Linked DNA regions of Arabidopsis thaliana. The protein of the gene in region 4 interacts with the protein of the main gene of each other region in a pairwise test. Each region holds a gene or a part of one and is shown on either strand. Other genes may lie near its edges.

Region 1 (6,263 bases), on a different chromosome or scaffold from region 4:
ATCCTTTTAAATGTGTAAAAAATAATAAAGAGTAATGGATAATTAAACCCAGCCCATTAAGTTTCATAAGCCCATTTTACTCTACTGTCTTCTTTCTCTTTTTTTTGACAATCTTTACTTTCTTCTTCTAAGCTCTATAAGAGAGACCATCCTCCTCTAGCTTGAAGCAAACGAAAAGCTTTTGAAGAACAGAGGAACAAGAAGAAGAAAGATGTTCAGGAACCAGTACGACACAGATGTGACAACATGGAGTCCCACAGGTCGACTATTCCAAGTCGAATACGCCATGGAAGCTGTGAAACAAGGCTCCGCAGCAATAGGACTCAGATCTCGCTCTCATGTCGTCCTCGCTTGTGTCAACAAAGCACAATCAGAGCTCTCTTCTCATCAAAGGAAGATCTTTAAAGTCGATGATCATATTGGTGTTGCTATTGCTGGTCTCACTGCTGATGGTCGTGTTCTCTCTCGATATATGAGATCTGAGTCTATTAATCACTCTTTTACTTATGAGTCTCCTCTTCCTGTTGGTCGTCTTGTTGTTCATCTTGCTGATAAAGCTCAGGTAAATTGAGATTTTTGGGTTAACTTTTGAATTTTGACCTAGAATTTGCTAAAGGGTTTAGTTTTATGATGTGTGAGTATCTGAAAGTTTGAAGCTTTATGTAATTGGAGTAAAGTTTAGGTTTTTATTAGCAATGTGGCCAATTTTATTTGTAGAATGTGTGTGTTGTTATGCAAGTAGTGATATTGGTTTGTGATCAAGTCTTAGTGATTGGGAATTAGAGATTCTTGTGTTGTTAATCATATCCAGTTCTGTTGCTAGTTGCTTAATCCGATTAGAAAGAGTTAACCTGTATACCCACTTTGACGATAGAAGTGTATAAGAATGTGATGATTTTGGTCGTTTGGTTGTTTCTGTGTTGTCATCGTCTGTTCTCTTTGCTTGATAGAGTTGTTTTTGCTTGCAATTCTAGAATAAATATACGTCTTTGTTGATCTCTTTTTGGTTTTGTGGTTTTGACTTGTATTACTTTGCATTTGTTTACTTACTTGTAGTTGTAGTATGTCCTGGCCACTTTATTTACTTGCCTAATGAAGTATATTTTCAGTAAGATGTTGGTTTACAGTTGTGATAGAAATTTGTGCTACATGTTCACTACTTTTGGTGTTAAACGTAGTGTTCTCAAGTTAGATGATGTGTTCACAATTTTTAAAAGGTTTGATTGCTACGTCCCACTTACTTTCATGTCTGTCAAAAATTAAGTTAGCTGCTGTATCTACATTTTCAATTGATTTCTGAGAACGTATTGATATCAGTCTTGTAGTTTGAACAACACTCTGATTTCATTCAAATGTTAAGTCATTTGTTTGTCTTGTATTAAACATCTTCATAAATTATCTTTGAGCAGGTATGTACCCAACGATCATGGAAACGGCCTTATGGTGTGGGTTTGCTGGTAGGTGGATTGGACGAGTCAGGAGCTCACCTCTACTACAACTGCCCTAGCGGAAACTACTTTGAATATCAAGCATTCGCTATCGGGTCTCGTTCACAAGCTGCGAAAACCTATCTGGAGCGCAAATTCGAGAGCTTCCAAGAATCATCAAAAGAAGATCTGATAAAAGATGCTATTATGGCCATAAGGGAAACTTTGCAAGGGGAAACACTGAAGAGCTCGCTCTGCACTGTTTCTGTTCTAGGAGTCGATGAACCATTCCATTTCTTGGACCAGGAAAGCATTCAAAAGGTGATTGATACGTTTGAGAAGGTTCCTGAGGAAGAGGAAGATGCTGGTGAGGGTGAGGCCGAACCCGAAGCTGCTCCTGGTGCTGCTGGAACTGGTGAACAAGGTGGTTCAGGTGATCAAGATGTTGCACCAATGGAAATTTGAGCAAGAGGGAATGAGTTCAAAGTTGGATTTTCTAACCAATTTTCTTGTGTGTAGCTCTTTGATATGTTCCAACTTCCAAGTACAATTGTGGTTTTTATTCGGCTTTGTTTATTTAACAGCTTGGAACAAGGAGTTATTGAGTGCCACTAGCTTATGTTTAGTCCTACTTAAGTCAAATCTGTCACATGATAATAATAATCGGCGAATCGCCAACCTAGAGAGTGTATCAAACAGACACCATTTTGAATGAGAGAAACAGCGAGAGAAAGAATGAAAGATTAATCCAACTTTGTTTCTCTTTCTGCAAATTGTTCCTCGAAGAAATGACTTCATAATGCAACCATACATTATTGAGCAAGGATGATAAATCTCCTGCTTGCTCGGAAGAAAAGTTAAAACCAAAATAATATCTCTCTTGACCTTCCAGAGAATCAATCCTGTCTTGAAATGATTTCAACACACAAAAACAACCTGAGATTGGAATTAGAAGTACTGAGTAGACGGAACCTTGGCGACGGGTTTACCACCTGGTAAGACATTGTCGGGAAGAATCAACTCCGGTGGAGTTTCACGGGTAATCCCAAGCATTGAATCGTAATCCTCGTCCTTGCGTGCATACTTCTTCCTAAGCGCTCTCTCAACCTCGATCTGCTCAAATGACTTTGAATTCTCTGAGGCGTGAATCTGTGCGAGATTGATGTAATTCTTTGCTGACTGTGAGATGTATACTATCTCTTCATCTGTTAACTTTCTCATGAACTTTGCTGGATTTCCTCCCCACACCTGCCACATGAAACTGATAACTTATAGATATGTCCTTGTAAATATATTCTCAGGTTGACGGTTGAAGAAAGTAGTTCAAAAGCATAGCGATATAAGAAATCCGTCTAATTCCTCATAAAACATTGGAAACACAAGAACCCTCTGTTACTCCCAACTCACCCTTGTTTCATATACAAGTAGAATTGCAACGGAAACAAAGGTGGTTCTCAGATTTAGACGATATATAAATACTATTTACTCTTCTTTTTGATCAAAATATAATACAATTTACAGGCATATCATTTCATTAACTAATTCTGTATCAACTAAATTGTAAGCAAAGCAAAAGTGGATCTACTTGAAGAAGTTCAGCTGGTCAAGCCTTAGCTACAGGTCAGCGTAGGACTAAATGCAGCAGACTACAGCTGCTATTACTTGGTTAATTAGCAGTTCGTTATTAGGCTTGGTAGAGCTTCAGGGTCCGTGATAAGTAAACCTAGCTAGAGTTCTATTTTTGGTTCTTGATACTTTGGATTTTCTCGTTCAGTTTAGTGAGAAATAAAGCAGTTTCCAGTTCCAGTCTTATCACAAACTCCGTAAGCAGTAAACCAGAAAAGATAAAGTGGAAAGAAAGAAACCTCTCCAGAAGGGATTCGCGTGTTCTGTTTCACAAGAGAACCAGCAGCAACCATGGCATGTTTCTCAACCACCACACCATCAAGTAGTGTTGCTCCCATACCAACAAAAGCATCATCCTCAACAGTACACCCATGAATGACAGCACTGTGACCTGCTCCGTTTCATTTTACAAACAAAACCTTTAACTAACAATCGTGTAACACAACATAAAAACAGATACTTCAAAACTGATAAATCGCTTTTTAAGGTTTACCTACTGTTACATTGTCCCCAATCAGAGTAGGTAGAACCTTGCCACTTATGTTGGTCTTTGCAACATGTACAAGCGTATTATCTTGGATATTCGTCCCAGATCCAACACTGATGTTATTCACATCACCTGCACAAGTTAGAAACCCAGATTAACATACAATAAGTTTCACAGCTACTTCATGACACATTTTATCGACAGTACAATAAATCTATGTCCAATGATCAGGACAGTAACGTATAACAGCGATACAAGATTATTAGAAGGTAAAGAGAACTTCATTTCCTAAAACTAAACTATGACTACTTTGCACAATATACTGCTGCAAAATTTGGTACTTCTATCGAACCAAAGGCCATTAAGACTTTCTAGAAGTAATAAAGCCTCACCTCGAAGAACACAGCCATACCAAATCGACGAGCCTTTTCCGATCTGAACATCACCAATAACAGAAGCACTCGGAGCCACAAACACATCTTTATCCACCAATGGTGATTTATCAAACACATTCATCAACGTCCGATGCCTCGACACTGAAAACAAACACAAATTTCTCGAATCAAATTTTTTCAATCTAAGCCACAAATTTCTCCAATCAAAGGTGAAGACACAAATTAGAGATAACGAATTGGATCTAGGGTTTCAATAGAGAGTATTAAGTGGAAGGATCTGGAAGCTTACGATGTTCCTCGATACGGTGACTTCCTTGAAGAAGAGAACCAACGCGATCAAGAGCTTGACCAGTTCCACGAATCCAGTTACCCACAGTGTAAATTGCTCGTCCTAGGGTTCCCATTTTTTTGTGATTCTCCGATTACCCAAAGTGTGAAAATGAGAAGGCTTTGTTGTTTTTGGTGTCGCTCCACCAGATAGAGAGAGGTTTATGGAGGCGTATTGATGGGAGGATTTTTTTTTTTAACTCGAGTGAGTTCGTTTATTTTGTTGACCTCTAAATTTTTAGAGTATGGAGTGGTAACTGGTAAGCTAAACCAAACCGAAATTTATTGGTTGGACTTACAGAGATTGTGAATACAAAATCCGGATAGATTCGTTTTGCAATGTAAGGAGATGGAACAAAGCTTTCAGGAGACAAACACAAAAATGAGTAAAATAATTAATATAATTTAGCAAAGAAAATAAAGAGATAAAAATAGAGATATTAGCTTATATTGTGCATTGGATATTGGAAGTATTGCATAAAGCAAAGAAATAGTTTTTAGTATAAGGATTGGAAAAAACATTGTTTGTATCTAAAATGGGGTCAAGAATGTAGAAGATGGAGTTTCTTGGGTGTTTTTCTTGGAGTTATACTAGAAAGAAGTCGGGCAAGTGATATTTACGCGTGGGCGATTTCTCTCTCAAATTTTTTTCTTCTTATAATCACAATCTCTTGTTCCGTCAATAAGTTTTTTCGTTGACTCCAGCGACGAAGAAACCCATTGGGACATGGTGCTTCAACCGTGATCCGCTACATCTTCTCGGCAATTCAATCTATTCAAAATCAAGGGAGCAGTGGAGGGCAAATGCGGCATTAGGGGAGTGCAAGAGGAGCAATTGCACAGGATCCAAAAATTATTTGATCAAAATTAAAGGGTAAAATAAAAAAATTTATCAAATTTGAGGTCAAAAAGATAATTTTGACTAAATCTGAGGGCCATAATAAAATTTTAACTAAATGTAAGGGCCAAACTCAAAATATTTAGTATAAAAGGGCTAAATTTGAAAATTTGTACAGTGACAGAGAATATATTGAGTTGGCCCTGGTGGAGGGGAGAAGATTATGCGAGACACTGTCGGTAAGAGCTATATCGGTGGTGTGGCTTCACGGAGAGGAAGGATGAGACTTCACAGTGAAGAACAAGGGCTGACGGCGGTTAGGTCGGAAGTCTAAAGATTCTGGAGGTTTCATTGGGTCGCCGCTTGATGGGGGAGGTCGACTCCGCTTCGGTGAGGCTTTACCACCGTCGATGGTCTTGAGATCTACTCACTACTGCCGTCAACTCTCTCGACTGAGCTATGAGATTCATGACTATGGCAACCCGGATCGCCTCTTCCTCCTCAAAACTGCTCTACGGTGGCAGGAGGACAACGGATCCTGAATTACCATCTCCGTTCGACGAATCTCGTCTAGGCTCCCCAAAGGGTTTCTGTTCCGGTGAGATTCTGCAATTCTTGGACGGCGGCTCAGATCGTGTTTTACGATATGAGATTAGGATTTTCAACTTTCGGTTTAGATCGGTTTTGTAATAGATGGTTTAGTCTGGTTATATGTAAGTGGATTGAGTCTAAGGGAAAATGTATGAGCCTAAATCCGGAAATAGTCCATTGGACCTTATTTATAACATTGAAAACCATTTTACAAAAAAAAAGATGGAGTCTCTTTTCTTAGGGTCTCCACCTCTCTTTATAGTCTTTTCCTTCCTCCTATGTATCTTTATTTGGCCATTAGGTACATATCTAGCTCATAAAATAACTCTCATAATTAATTCGTAAACTTGAATGGCAAGTTTACTCCTTAAACCATGACCATTAATTCATAAATTTAATCACAAATTAATATCAAGATTTAACCACCTTTCTTATGCAAGATGTACATTCTTTGCTCTGTAAAGTGATGGAACTTGGATGCGTAAGATGGATTTGTCGTGCGCGATCCGGTATCAACATAAGCTTGAGTTCTTTGAGTAAGGTTATTTGCTTGAAGACTAATATTCTTGTAA
Region 2 (5,589 bases), on a different chromosome or scaffold from region 4:
CAGCCTCACATTTAGTCACAAGGAAATATCTGACACAGAGACAATAGAGAAACACACATGTTAGTAACTGTTGATTTCAAGAATCGAACCAGAGTGATTATCCATGTAAAGAAGAAGCAAAAGAGAAGTCTTACTTTGTAGATTTGCTTGAAATGTCGTTAACAGTGAAATCAATGAGACGAATTAGACCCAAGTTCTGGATCTTCCCAGAAATGATTTCAGGTGTGAGTGAAGCAGTAAACATTGCTTTGACTTTCGTCTTTCCGTCATTTGCACTAAATCTGTCAACCAAAATCAAAACAGATCCATCAGAACAAAATCGGTAACTAAAACCCAAAACTAGGCAATATACAAACTATTATCAACAAACCCAGATCTCTTCTATCATAGAGTCATCAAAGTCGTTGCATATCATAATCTAGCTATACAATTGTGATTGAGAGAATATAACACTGACCTAAAGCTGGAACAAGCGAGATTTAAGAAATCAAGTAAAACCCAGATCATGAAAAGCCAAGGAAACTTACGTATAGCGATTGCCGATAGGTTTAAGATCCACAACTTGAACAACGATCTCAGATCGATCGGAAGACGAATCAAAGGATGGGTTTGACAAAACGGTGGAGATGGCATCTGGGGTCACCGAAGTCTGCATCTTTCTCTCTAGATATTGAAAAATGAAACGTTTGGTTTCTCTTTAATCAGAATGGTGAAAACTAAAAGCCGTGAGATAGTGAGAAGAATGAGAGAGAGGTACGAGGGTTTTTGTAAAGGAGAGAGCTTTAAGCGGGAGCTATTAAATTCGATTAATTGTTCCCCCGCCGATTTCAATTTCTATTTTTTTGGCAAAAAACTCTTACCGCTTCTTTTCAGTATCTTTCCATTTTTTTGGCGCATTTTGTTTTGTTTGATAATGGACTTTGTATGCGAAAGAAACTGTGTTACAAAAGCCTTTCACTTCAGGCCCATAGTTTATGGTTTTGTTTTTATGTGTGGGTCTTGAATCCACCGTATCACACGTTATGATTCATAAATATCTAAAATTTATTTCCAACAAATACAATTTTTTTGTTTCTTAAAGAACACATACGATATTATTATTTCAGAAAAAGATTAAATACAAAATCCCCAGGATCAAAATCAAACACCAATTCCAGATTAAACAATATCAACAATCTTTAATGTTTTTGACTTTTTTTTTTCTCTGAATGTTTTTGACAATTGAAAAAAATAATTCTACGCATTGCGTGAGGCAAACATTTAAAATTTTAATTTATATAAAGAGAAAATTTATACTTCTTGACTTGGGAAAAAAAAACTTGCTGAGGTCCTTACTTGATATGAGCTGTCAACTACTAGTGTGAGCCGTACAAATATAATCGGACGGTTCAGATCAATACATTGCGAGCCAGTCAAACTTCAAGTATTGACTAATCAACATCAACGTTTATTACACTAATTTATTATTGTACCCCTTATTTTCCAAAAACATAATACTTTTATCCCTATTGTATCCAATAGCTCTAAAAAAATCCACCATAAAATGTGTTTAATGAAATTCGATTATCTCTGACGACAACATTATCAAAAATCAAGACAAGAGATAGAACATAAAATGTTCAAATTCGTAAAAGTAATTGAAACAAATTAAATTCATTTCGAAGTTTATTAATTACATTTTGACCCCCAAATTTAAGTTAATTAGACTTACCATCCCCATGGTTTTCGTCCCGCCATATGGGGAAGTCAATGGACGAATCAATCTCAATTAGATTCGGGGCGGCCCAAAAATTTATCATTTTCTAAACCTTTCGTAATCTACGAAATTACGGGATCGCCTTCGTTGGAATACTAATTCCATTTTTCAACTTTGTTTTTATAAATACAGTTTACGTGCACCACAACTTTTCTTCTTTCCCTTCTTCTTCCCCAATAATCTCGCTGAAACTCTCTTGCTCTTGCTTCTAAAAATCTGTTCTTTGAGACTTTGATCACACAGTTATCAAAATCATAATCTCTTCTTTCCTGGTTTTTTTTTTTTTCTTCTTCTTCTTCCCGTTTCACGGTACGTTTACTCTGTTCGATCACCGAGTGTATGATAAAATGTTTCTGTGAAATCAAATAACATATCACTTTCTAATAAACATCAAAATTTCTCCTTTTTTACAGAAACAAGAAGTTTTTTTGGGAAAGCCGTTGACTTGACTTTTTCTTTGGGGTGTTGTGTGGGAGCTTATAGTATGGTACCATAAGTGGGAGCTTATAGTTTGGGGTGTTGTGTGGGAGCTTATAGTATGAGGAAAAATGTTAGATTTGAAGAATGCTTCACTGATTTTTTACCATAAGTATGTCAACTGGATTAAGCTTAAGTAGTAATGGTTTTTACTATGTTCATGTGGGGATTTCTCTTCCTCTCTGTTTACTTCATTCCGAGATGACTTGAGATTTTTTCAAAGTATAGTTCTTGGAGTTAAGCTTACCTAGTAATCACTTTATATAACATCCCTTCGTTTACATTTGTGCTTTCACCTGGAAACACTTTAGACTTTTCTCTCTTCTGCCGTGTGTATTTAGTTGTCTAGTCAAATTTAAGTTGAGTTTAGGCTCTAGTCTTTGGTTTTGGTTATGGCAGAGTTTGATTCCAAGGTTCCTGTTTCCGGAATGAACAATCATGTCTTTGAGGCATGTCACCATGTTGTTAAGGCACTGAGGGCATCTGATAACAACCTGGATGCCAATTTGAGAAAGCTCCTAAGTGACCTAGAGATGCATTTGTCAACATTTGGGATTGCTGATACCAAAGTTGAAGATGCAGGATTCTCTGAGATCAAGAAGAGATTCAAAGAAGCTGTGAAGAGAATCCGCAGTTGGGAGACAAACCAGTCGACGATGTTTGAAGCTGGTCTGTCTGAAGCTGATCAGTTCTTTCAAGCCCTGTATGACGTTCAAACAGTTCTTGTGGGTTTCAAAGCTTTGCCCATGAAAACTAACCAGATGGAGAAAGATGTTTACAACCAAGCTACGGTTGCTCTTGACATCGCGATGTTGAGGCTTGAGAAAGAGCTCTGTGATGTTCTGCATCAGCACAAACGGCATGTACAGCCTGATTACTTGGCTGTTAGTTCCCGTAGAAAAGATATTGTGTACGACGAGTCCTTTGTCTCCCTAGATGATGAAGTTATTGTCGAAGCTTCTTCACATGAAGATGATGAACAGATATCGGACTTTTATAATTCTGATTTGGTTGATCCCATCGTACTTCCTCACATCAAAGCTATTGCAAACGCCATGTTTGCTTGCGAGTATGATCAACCATTCTGTGAAGCTTTCATCGGCGTTCAAAGAGAAGCTCTGGAGGAGTATATGGTTACTCTCGAAATGGAAAGATTCAGCTGCGTTGATGTTCTCAGAATGGACTGGGAGGATTTGAATGGTGCAATGAGAAAATGGACAAAGGTTGTTAAGATCATTACTCAGGTCTATCTCGCCAGTGAAAAACAGCTATGTGATCAGATTTTGGGAGACTTTGAGTCAATTTCTACAGCTTGCTTCATTGAAATCTCAAAAGATGCAATTCTATCACTCCTCAACTTTGGAGAAGCTGTGGTGCTGAGATCTTGCAAGCCAGAAATGCTTGAGCGCTTCCTTAGTATGTATGAGGTTTCAGCAGAGATTCTCGTGGATGTCGATAACCTCTTCCCCGATGAAACAGGCTCGTCTTTAAGAATTGCATTTCACAACCTGTCAAAAAAACTAGCTGATCATACAACCACAACCTTCTTAAAGTTCAAAGACGCAATAGCCTCAGATGAATCCACACGCCCCTTTCATGGAGGCGGGATTCATCACCTGACCAGGTATGTAATGAACTACTTGAAGCTTCTCCCGGAGTATACCGACTCACTAAACTCACTGCTTCAGAACATACACGTTGACGACTCCATCCCCGAGAAAACAGGAGAAGATGTCCTCCCTTCGACATTCTCTCCAATGGCTAGACACCTCAGGTCAATCGTCACAACTCTAGAATCCAGCCTTGAGCGAAAAGCTCAGCTGTACGCAGACGAAGCACTGAAATCCATTTTCCTGATGAACAACTTCCGTTACATGGTCCAGAAGGTAAAGGGATCAGAGCTGAGACGCTTGTTTGGAGACGAATGGATCAGGAAGCACATTGCAAGCTACCAATGCAATGTCACTAACTACGAGAGATCCACATGGAGCTCCATACTCGCTTTGCTCAGAGACAACAACGACTCTGTAAGAACCCTGAGAGAAAGATGCAGACTTTTCAGCCTTGCATTTGATGATGTTTACAAGAACCAAACCCGTTGGTCAGTCCCTGATTCAGAGCTCCGCGATGATCTTCACATCTCGACCTCTGTCAAGGTTGTTCAGTCTTACAGAGGATTTCTTGGAAGAAATGCAGTTCGCATAGGCGAAAAACACATCCGATACACTTGTGAAGACATTGAGAATATGCTCCTTGATCTCTTTGAATGTTTGCCATCTCCAAGATCACTGCGCAGCTCTCGTAAGAGATGATGATGATGATGACTTGAGCCTAATGGACTCCATCTTTGTTCTTTTGATCTTTTGTTATTTACTCACTTATGCAATGTTTTGTGATTGCTTACATGCAAATAAAGTTGTAGAATTTTTATACTCCATTGTGGGGATGTAATAGTAATTGGCTATCTTGTCACTATGTCATCTTTGACATGCTTAATACAAATTCAATGTTTAAGTCGGATTTAACATTTATAATGACGATGGTTTTTTGGTTAACTCTATGGACTCATCTGATTTAACTGAGGTATGGACTTGGGCTATTTGACTAGGAGATATCTTTGGTGACTTCTTACTACTACTCACCTCTGTATTCTCTGCTGGATTTTGGCATATGCAACAGCAAAGTGTTGTTGATGGAACAAGTGAAGGAAGTGAGCTAGCAGTGGAAAGAAGACTGGGCTGATTATGAATGTCAGTAATGACGTCTCTCCCCAGTCAAGAAGATAACTAGAGAATTATGCTTAGAAGATTTGATGGTAGCCTTGCTATTCTCCATCTATTCTCATCTTCGGAAAATTGTCTAAACTATAGTACCCTTATGTCCAAAAACCTACAATCTTCTGTCAAAATATGAGAAGGAACTTTTTTTGGACCGTTTGATTCCTGCATTCGAGTATGAAGCAGATGCCAAATGTTTCTCTTACTTGTCTTGCCTGAAAAGTTATATAAAACTGAATAAGCTGATTCAATACCAATCTTTTACCCATATCCTCATATGTTGGACCATTACTAAAGGGATAGAGAATAACTGCAAGATGATGAATGCTCATGCCAAAACTTCATCTACTAAGCCACTACCCTCTCAACTCGGTTCCAAAAAAAAAAAAAAAAAAGTCTGCAAATTCAGGAATGGAAACAAAACTAGAGAAACGCTCTAAATAGCCTAAAACAGCCCACCCAGTTCCCACTTAAAACCAAAGGTTGGTTCAGCAGGCAGTAGCAACAGCATTTTTCTCCACAGGTAACTCGGTCTCTTTCACCACTTTCGATTCTTTAGTCACTTCAGCCGCAACTCCT
Region 3 (5,294 bases), 8.0 Mb from region 4:
CGATATCGGATCCACCTCTCCCTACCCAAAAAGCATGTAAACTCACGAAAAAATAAGTTGCCATGATATAAACTAATAAATGTCTAGCATATTTCTGGTGCTTTCAAGTAACTAGCCAAAATTTCTATTCACATCTCTCTTTTTGTTTTTGAATCAATGTAAAATTTTCTTCAAAAAGTCATTGGTTACAATATATGCAGCTTTAAGCAGAATGTTTCTATTCACATCTTATCATATTAGTTATTATATAAAAGACTATATCAAATAATCAGTAACTTGTTTGGTAAGAAATTTTAAACCGCTTAGTTCAGATTATCTTTTGCTTAGTGACAACTTTTCTTTTGTTGCTTTGCTAAGTGACAACTTCTTGATTCGGTGGGTCGTCTCTTTATGTTCTCATGCTACATATGTATGTGTATATTCGGTTATTGTTTTTTGTTGACATTCATGAACATTACATGACAAGACCAGACAAGATGTTTTAGTAACCAAACACTTGTTGTTTACTCAAGATCAGTGCTCAAAGTTAGAGAAACTGCCATCAAGGAGATTTTTAAACTCCAAAATTTCAATGTAAATCACATTACAAAACGACCAAATCAATTGCGTTTTACTCTTTACATTTTATTTATAAAGAAAACAAATGCAAGATTTTTTTTTTTTTCCTTCACTTTTTATAAAACTAGAAAACATAAAGCCTCTTCATTTTTTTCCTTCTCCCTCGACCGTGTAAGTACCGTATTCGAACTTGTATTTTGTATATATATACATTTTAGACCGGACAATAATCCGGTTAATCAATAAACCGGTCTCTGTCCATTTGCAATTTCAGGGTTGTTGTCCAAAAGGGTAAGAAGTGCTCTGTTTCTTTTACTCCTTCCTCTTCCAGCTTCTTTCAACAACGCAGCAAGCCTCTGCTTCTCGTCCTCAACCTCGGGATTTGCCGTCCCGAGCTTCTCTTCTCTTGTCCCAACAACATACTCCAATATCTCTATAGCATCATCTAACCTGTAAAGCAAGTAACACATTGCTTGTACCGCAGGGAAATACCAAAAAACATAACCTAGCAAGAAAATTGTTTTAAGTTCCAAATTTACCTTCCCATTGCGTCGTACGTTCCAGCAAGGTTACTGTAAACCGCTAATGTATCGGGATGGTACGGTCCACACTCTTTCTCAAGAATAGTTTTCGCTTCTTCAAACAAATCTGCAGCTTCATTGATCGCGTAACGCTGAACGCAAGCTAGTCCCATCTGATTCAAAGCAATCCCGAAAAGAGCGGTTTTTTTCTCTCCGCTATTGCGGAACTTTGATATCGCGCTCTTGAATATGTCGTAGGACTCGGAGTAATTTCCCATCATATAAGTAACCACACCCATTTGAGCTTCAATACCTGCAATCGTGTTCTGTTGACCTGGAGCGTTTGCATATATCTTCAACGCCCGTCTCAACAACTTAAGAGCTTGATCAAGTTCATTCATTGACTGATATATCGCAGAAATCTCTATAAAACCAGTCGCAACCTCTTCCATAGGAGTTCCTGGAGTCGGTTTTAGGTAAATCTTGAGAGCGTTTTCGCAGTACGATTTGGAATCGCGTGTTTTCCCAATCTTGTTGTACAAGTCAGCAAGCCTAACGTAAACCAAAGCAACAGAGGAATGAGTCTCACCTTTTCCTTGCTTAAACACAGCTAAAGCCTTCTGGTATGCGAATATCGCTTCATCAAACCTAGCTAGCGACATGTAAGCATCACCAATACTGCAATCTACAGCAGCAACATCTTCTCTATGGTTCTGAGATGACATTGCCATGCTCGCTAAAACATAATGCTCAAGCGCAACTTCATAATCACCTTTCGCATCGCAGATAAGTCCCATCAGTTTTCTATCCGCAGCTTCTTCAATAGAAGCTGTAGCGGCAGCACCGTTTTCTTTGTGAATGTCCAATGCCATTTGACAAAGCCTTGAGGCTTCTTCAAACTGCATTGCTTGAACATGAGCTTCCGCTAAGTACCTACAAGTTTCGCCAACTCGTGCATCCGATTCTCCAAGAACTTGTCTTTGAATCTCCAAACCCGCGGTGTATAGCATAATCGAATTTTCAACTTGACCCATCAAACCATACATGTCACCAAGCTGCATACACCCTGCAAATTTCGCCAACGCGTGATCCTCACCATCTTCAATCATCGGTATCTCGATAGAACGTTCAAGAACAGGCACAGCGTCATTGTATCTCCCTAACCCTGCATATATCGCTGCCAAGATATGCAAAGACATCACCAAATTCAACCCAAGTTGTTTCTCTCCTTCCCCACATTTCTCAAACACTTTCACCGCTCTCAACGCTAAATCAAGAGCCTTGTTTAAATTCTCACCTGAAGAAACCAACTCTCTGGCTTGCTTCAACAACACCACACCAAGCTCAGGACTCTCCTCATCAACAGAAACCTTCCCCAAATCCGGTGATTTCCTCGAAGAGATCCTCGAACCCGGCATCTTCGGATTATTAGGACTCGTTTTCGCAACCTTCTTACCATTCGAAAGAGGTTTCTTCTGACTCAAGCTACCTTCTCCATTACTTTCTTCCTTCTTCTCCAAGATAATCTCTTTCTTGCTCTCTCCTTCTTCTCCTACATCTCCAACCAAATGCCTCAACTCCAAATCAATCCTAGATTCAGCTCCATACGAAATAAAACTCGCCCTGGACGGAGACTGATCATCAGAACTCTCCATTTCACAAACGTTATGATACAACTGCTCAATAGAAGCATTCATAGCTCCATCAATTGCAAGATCTATAGAACTCAGAGGACTCCTCGGTGAAGCTTGAAGGGCAGAATCGTCTTTTACCCTCTCATTGCTCTCTCCTACGTCCATGGCCTCCAAAACTCACAACTCAATTATAAATCTGAATCAATGGAGACCAAGATTTTAGATTCAAATCCGTTAAAACAACAAGATAACATCAAAAGACTCGAAATTGAGAACCATAAGTCCCTAACTAGAATTATCTAAAGCTGACATAGATTCAGTTACTAACAGAGAACAAAACCCAGAATCAAATTCAACGAAATTGAAAAGAAAAACGAAAACTTTGAAGATTTTAAGAGATAAAAATCGAACCTTTATGTGTCTTTGACTCTGAAGAAATCTGCAAGAAGGCAAAAAAAGAACAGATTCTGTTTTTTGGTAACTTAGTGTGGTTGTGTAAGAGATGAAAATGAAGGATTTGGTGTCTTGTACTTTTCACTTTTAGGTGTTTGTTTTATATCTTCACTTTCATAATCTCATAGCTAATGTTATGAGAAAGATGAAGCAACAACATTTATGCACAAACCCTTTCACTGTCCTTATATGTTTTGAAACAAAAGCAGACTTTTTTTTTTGGGTCTACATTGCTTACTTTAATTTACCTTTTAAATTGAATTATTGATTGATTATATTAAGATAATGAAGATGATAATTGACTCTTTTTGATGTGATTATATGATTATTTTTTCAAGAAAGAGATGCATAACCAGAAATTTTTTTGAAGATCATTAGGTTTGAAGATGATTGACTCTTGAAGCAATAAAAAGAAGATGACTTCTTCCCTACTTGCACTCTCTCTTTAAATAATTTATCTTTTTTCCTCAATTTTATAAATAAATTTATCTCTTTGAAAAATAATAATGAATGTCTCATCCATTTTTTTTATCATCTAAAATTTGATTAAAAATTTGCTGTGAAACCAAAGAAAATTACAAATTTTCAAAGAAGGAAAAGTAAAACCGACAGATAAAAAATAATTCCCCAAAAATTACAGCAGAAAAAAACGAGATTCTTTCTGGAAACTAAACACTATGAAATGAATGTTTCATCCATTTCAAGATTACCTTTTTTTTAATTAAAACTTTTAAAAAATATTGTTTCCTTCACATGCAATTTTTTCATGAATTTGTTTTTTTAAAGTTAAAGTTTGAGTTTTGCCCGTTAAGAATTAATTATTTTTCTTATTTATCCTAAAAGAAATATTGTTTCCTTGAAATGCAATTTTTTAGGGATTTAATGAGTTAAATTAGAACAAAAAAAAATTGAGTTTTGCAGGTTAATTAGCCAGCTAATTAAATGCTGGGGAAAGATCACAATTCACAAGTCTACGTCAAACCCTACAAATTCACAGCTGTATAATAAGTACCGTTGAGATTCCGCCACGTGTCATACTTAATCATCAATTATCTCTAATGATCATCCCATGATCTCTAATCTATATACGTAATATTAAAAACGTGAACAGTTAAAAATTTAGCCTTTTGATTGATATAATGATGCAGTGTTTTTTTTTTAGTATAGTCTTTAACTCTTTATGGAAAGAAAAATTGGACCACTGGATTTAAAGGATTGAATCACTAATTTAGTAAGAATTTTTCTTAATGACGAAATGATATGACACGTGGACTACAGCTGCATACCAGTTAGACAGCCTGGTTTTATGGTCCAGATGTGGTCCACCTTTAAGCCCATTACGGCTTTATGGGCCCTTATAGTCATCAGTGTAGGGCCTACCCAAAATGTAATTTTTATAGAACTCTCGTTCCCATATTTCATGAGTCAATTTTATTGTGAAAAAACGATAATGCGCTTAAGGCAATTTTTTCACTAGCCAACCAACAAAATATCGAAATGACTATTATTTTTATTTATTTTTTTTTTCTTGTCACAACGAAATGACTATTTATATATGTTTTTGTTAAGAGCCCATAACATTATATTATTTGGTTGGTCGGTCATATTATATATGCAAATTATGTATGACTTGGTTTCTTACAAGAGACAGAGACAACCCACACGTTTGTTCATAATTCTAAGACCTAACAACGTCTCTTCCTTCGGATTTTTATTTTTGTATATTGCATAAAGACAACTCTGTAACCACAAATACTTTATTATTTCCTATTCACAAAGTTATAAGCAATTCTTTTTTATCGTCAGTTCATAAGCAATTCATTGGATTAATTTATGAACTGAAAACAAATTGTAATCATTGACGACTGTTGGGCGGTGCTGTTTTCTTTAACTCTTTCGCCGCTCGAATCCCATATCAAATCTTATCTGTTCACAAATTATTTGGTTTTCTAAATTCCTACGCGTTTTATATTACCAACACGTTTTTGTTTTCTTCGAAAATTTTAGGTCAGAACGTATATAATTTTGACAAATTTGTCAAATACTATCTCTGACAAAAGTTTGATAAATTTTGACAAATTTGCCACAACATCAGTCATTGAATTGTACAATAACTGTCTAACAAATA
Region 4 (3,487 bases):
ATGCCTAAGCTGTGTTTAGAAACTACTGGTAGGAAAATAATATCTAAACAGTATACTCAATATGTTTTGTTACTGAATCAAACCCTGAACAAGAATCGATCCTACAAACAGAGTTTCTGTTTACAAGGCTCAAATCAAATCTACTAAACCATTGGTATAAGATGCCAGATCCATTCTACCTTATTCCCTTTCCCTAAAAGCAGAAACTGTGATTACAATGCTCAGAGTATATTTAATGTTATCTCAGCCTCACCAAAGATGCAGTGGTTATGAGAATGAAAGATCAAAACTCCACTAATTCTTCTAACTCAACGGAAACACCTCCTTAGACAATTAGACCCGAGAATATAAAGGATGGCCTATTAATCCTAAGCATACCGAAACCGGGAAGATTACTATATGGTCTGTAAAAAGAATCTCATTCCAGTACTAAGAAGTCACATCATTCTATATACTCTCTTTCTCTATGCTTAAAGCTGTTGGCAAATTGAGCTCGAGACCAACAGATATCAACACCAGGTAACCACAATTCAACACAATGTGTTCAATAACCTCCTAGCATTTTCCAATTGCTTTTACCAATCTCTAGATATAACACCATAGTCTCTAACCAATCTAATGGAAGAAGAAGCAACGAAAATGAAATCAAGAAAACAACATTCACCCATACTTGAAGCAGGGAATCGTTTAAACAAGCAGAGTTCTTTACCACATTACAAAATTTAAATGTAAGCAAACGAAAATTACAGATTCAAATGGAGTTATCTTCAGAGTACCGAAATTTCCAAAGCGAATTTTATTAGCCAAATTGAGAACGAACCCAACATTTATGAGATCCTCAAGAACAAAAACTTACGGAATATCCCAAGGCTTAGCTTCAGGGACAGCGACGACCATACCTTGAAGCTCCTGCGTTAACACAACTTGGCAACCAAGACGCGAGTGCTTGTTCAAGATACGGGATCTAGAGCTACGCTTCAGCACATACTCCTCATCGTAAGTACGCGGCGGGAGCTTCTCGAGCCATTCCTCTGCGATCTGAACCTCGCACTCCGCTGAGCAAGCCTCGATGTCATCCAATCTATGCGATGCTGGATCTATCAGACCAGTGTGAGTGAGCGCACGAAGGAGAGTCTGGCCAGAGAGTCCAATGATGTCCTGCTTGTATCCATCGGGATCGATCGCAGAAAGCTTGACGATTCGGTCAGAGACTTTCTTCGATCCCAGAGACGGAGAAGGAGCAGACGTTGCGGATGTGCGAACGATTAGAGATCTGGTGAATGGAGAGAGTCGGTGGATTTGAGAGGAGAGTTTCTGAAGAGTCGTCGCCATCGTCGTTCCCCAATTTTTGGTCGGAGCTCAGATTTTTTGTGCTAATGGTTGAAACCGGAAAAGTGAGTGAGGGTGAAACGCTAATTTGGAGATGGGCTTCTTTATAAGCCCAAAGATAAGTTACATACTTACAAGCCCAAATTTCTAACTGGACCGTTCAATCGAACCGGTCAATATTAATCCAAATATTTTGTTTGGTTTAGTTTGGGTTGAAGAAAACATTGCTTCTATGTATTTTATGAGGCATTTAAGACAGAAAAAAATCTATAAACATTCGAATAGCCGCAAGTCCGGCCAGATCCACTCTGTTCCCATGTGATACGGTCCACCTACTTTTTCCAATAACGCGTAAGAAATTTAGGAAGTTAGAACCAAAGGCTTAACGAAACAAGCCACATTTAACTAAATACTGCTTGGTGGACACACATCCGACGTGGCTATCGTTCATTGGTCTGTTCCATCTATGGAATGAGAAGCACAAGATTACTGCTCCATTCCAAATTCCGCCTTCAATAATTTGATAAAATTTTGATCCACTCTGTTTCAAGCTGTCACCAGAATGTCGTCTTCTTCTTCTTCTCCTTCTTCGTCTTCCCTTAAACCCATTAATTCAATTTCCTGATAAACGAGCAGAGAGAGATCTGTCAAAATCACAAACCGTGAATTCGGGAAGAATAAGCCGATGATGCTTCGTATTGTTCAAATCGCGTTTCTATGTCTCGTTCTCGTCGCCGGGATCTCGATCTCCACGGCGATATCAGAGACTGAGACTATATACGAGATCCTCCTGGCAAACGGATTACCTTCGGGGATATTCCCGAAAGGTGTCAGAGAATTCACCTTCGACGTCGAAACGGGACGATTCTCGGTTTATTTGAATCAGGCATGCGAGGCTAAATACGAGACTGAGATACATTACGACGCCAATATTACGGGGACTATAGGTTCTGCTCAAATCTCTGATTTGTCTGGAATCTCGGCGCAAGAGCTATTCTTGTGGTTTCCGGTTAAAGGAATCCGAGTCGACGTGCCGAGTTCTGGTCTTATATACTTCGACGTTGGTGTTGTTCGAAAGCAATATTCTTTGTCTTTGTTCGAGACTCCGAGAGATTGCGTTCCGGTTCGTGGGATTCACAAGGTATGCAGAATGAGTTTTTTCAATTGAACCTTTAAAGTTCTTGAAAATTATTGAAGGATACTAATGGGCTATAGTGTGAATAGAGATAATTCAAATGTTCTTATCGCTGGATTTTGTGGTTTTTCAATGTCGAGCTTTTGAATATTCACAAGTTTCAGGCTTGCCACTAAGAATTCAAATGAGAATCCTTTTTCAAAGTTTTTTTAGCTTATCTCATTCGTCATCATCTGAAACTTTTGAGATTCCTTTCAATGGTCATTTTTTCTCCATTCTTGACTTGGTTGCGATTTTTGATTGGTCAGGAACTGTTAGACATGTGACATGAAGAATTATCTTTAGAGCTAGGAAAGATTGTTCCTTTTTAGGGTTATGTTCTCCATTCTTGAATTGGTTGAGATTTTTTTATCGGTGAAGAACTGTTAGACTTGTGAAATTGGGAATATCTTTCGAACTAGGAAAGATGGTTTTGAAAGTTTTGCATTGATCAGATTCAATCATGTAATGGAAAATAAGCTAATGTGTGCTCAATGGGTCTTCTTGCAGGTTGAGTTGCCATTGTACCGAGTAGATCAAAATCTTGGGAGAAACATCATTTAGCAAGAGTTTTAAAGAATTGTTGTATACCATACCAGAAAGAAAGGAAGATAGATGTTCTCATCAATCAATTCTTGAAGATACTTCAACTGTTTTGGTCTCAAATCTTAGGCATGATTCAAAATCAAATTGCTTCATTCTTTCCCTCCCCATTCCAGTTTTGCTTCTGTAATTCGTTCTCAGATTAGGCCGGGGACTGAACCGAGGAGAGAATCTGTGGTTTTGAAAAGATGCTAAAGGGATGGCCCAGATTTTGTTGAAGTGATGATAACTGTGAGGTGATGAATGTTTTGTGTTGTATTCTTGTGTCATGTCTAAAACAGATATAATAAATCCTATATTTAGCCAAATAAGTGTTATAGAAAATTGGCAATTTGCAATCATTTCTCTTTCACCGAATATCTGGCTGCTTTGTTTTTGGTA

Evidence for each region.
Region 1: the proteins of AT3G07480 (region 4) and GAMMA CA2 interact in a two-hybrid assay, tested with the Arabidopsis thaliana proteins (one large-scale study listed by BioGRID).
Region 2: the proteins of AT3G07480 (region 4) and EXO70E2 interact in a two-hybrid assay, tested with the Arabidopsis thaliana proteins (one large-scale study listed by BioGRID).
Region 3: the proteins of AT3G07480 (region 4) and KLCR2 interact in a two-hybrid assay, tested with the Arabidopsis thaliana proteins (one large-scale study listed by BioGRID).

What each region holds. Positions count from the first base shown.
Region 1 is NC_003070.9:17,319,009-17,325,271, forward strand, and holds GAMMA CA2 (gamma carbonic anhydrase 2), read right to left. Parts: upstream 4,477-6,263; 5' UTR 4,340-4,476; coding exon 4,225-4,339; intron 4,077-4,224; coding exon 3,933-4,076; intron 3,673-3,932; coding exon 3,547-3,672; intron 3,445-3,546; coding exon 3,293-3,444; intron 2,676-3,292; coding exon 2,376-2,675; 3' UTR 1,893-2,375; coding exon of another isoform or gene 1,410-1,892; 3' UTR 563-1,409; downstream 1-562. Other genes in the region: PAF2 (20S proteasome alpha subunit F2), read left to right, coding at 212-562, 1,410-1,892; AT1G47265 (uncharacterized protein), read left to right, coding at 5,560-5,790. UniProt on the Arabidopsis thaliana protein: Enzyme involved in the catabolism of H(2)CO(3) but that does not mediates the reversible hydration of carbon dioxide. Mediates complex I assembly in mitochondria and respiration. Binds HCO(3)-.
Region 2 is NC_003076.8:24,551,987-24,557,575, forward strand, and holds EXO70E2 (exocyst subunit exo70 family protein E2), read left to right. Parts: upstream 1-1,757; 5' UTR 1,758-2,625; coding exon 2,626-4,545; 3' UTR 4,546-5,057; downstream 5,058-5,589. Other genes in the region: RPA70D (Replication factor-A protein 1-like protein), read right to left, coding at 1-29, 135-281, 528-655; ECT3 (evolutionarily conserved C-terminal region 3), read right to left, coding at 5,499-5,589. UniProt on the Arabidopsis thaliana protein: Influences the subcellular localization patterns of other exocyst complex proteins (e.g. SEC5A, SEC15A, SEC15B and EXO84B) leading to their recruitment to exocyst, well-defined large punctate structures throughout the cytosol.
Region 3 is NC_003074.8:10,379,716-10,385,009, forward strand, and holds KLCR2 (Tetratricopeptide repeat (TPR)-like superfamily protein), read right to left. Parts: upstream 3,535-5,294; 5' UTR 3,125-3,534; intron 2,944-3,124; exon of another isoform or gene 2,910-2,943; 5' UTR 2,879-2,909; coding exon 1,098-2,878; coding exon of another isoform or gene 1,094-1,097; exon of another isoform or gene 1,009-1,093; coding exon 798-1,008; 3' UTR 515-797; downstream 1-514. Other genes in the region: AT3G27950 (GDSL-like Lipase/Acylhydrolase superfamily protein), read left to right, coding at 1-56.
Region 4 is NC_003074.8:2,386,871-2,390,357, reverse strand, and holds AT3G07480 (2Fe-2S ferredoxin-like superfamily protein), read right to left. Parts: upstream 1,656-3,487; 5' UTR 1,333-1,655; coding exon 853-1,332; 3' UTR 535-852; downstream 1-534. Other genes in the region: AT3G07470 (transmembrane protein, putative (Protein of unknown function, DUF538)), read left to right, coding at 2,015-2,470, 3,014-3,067.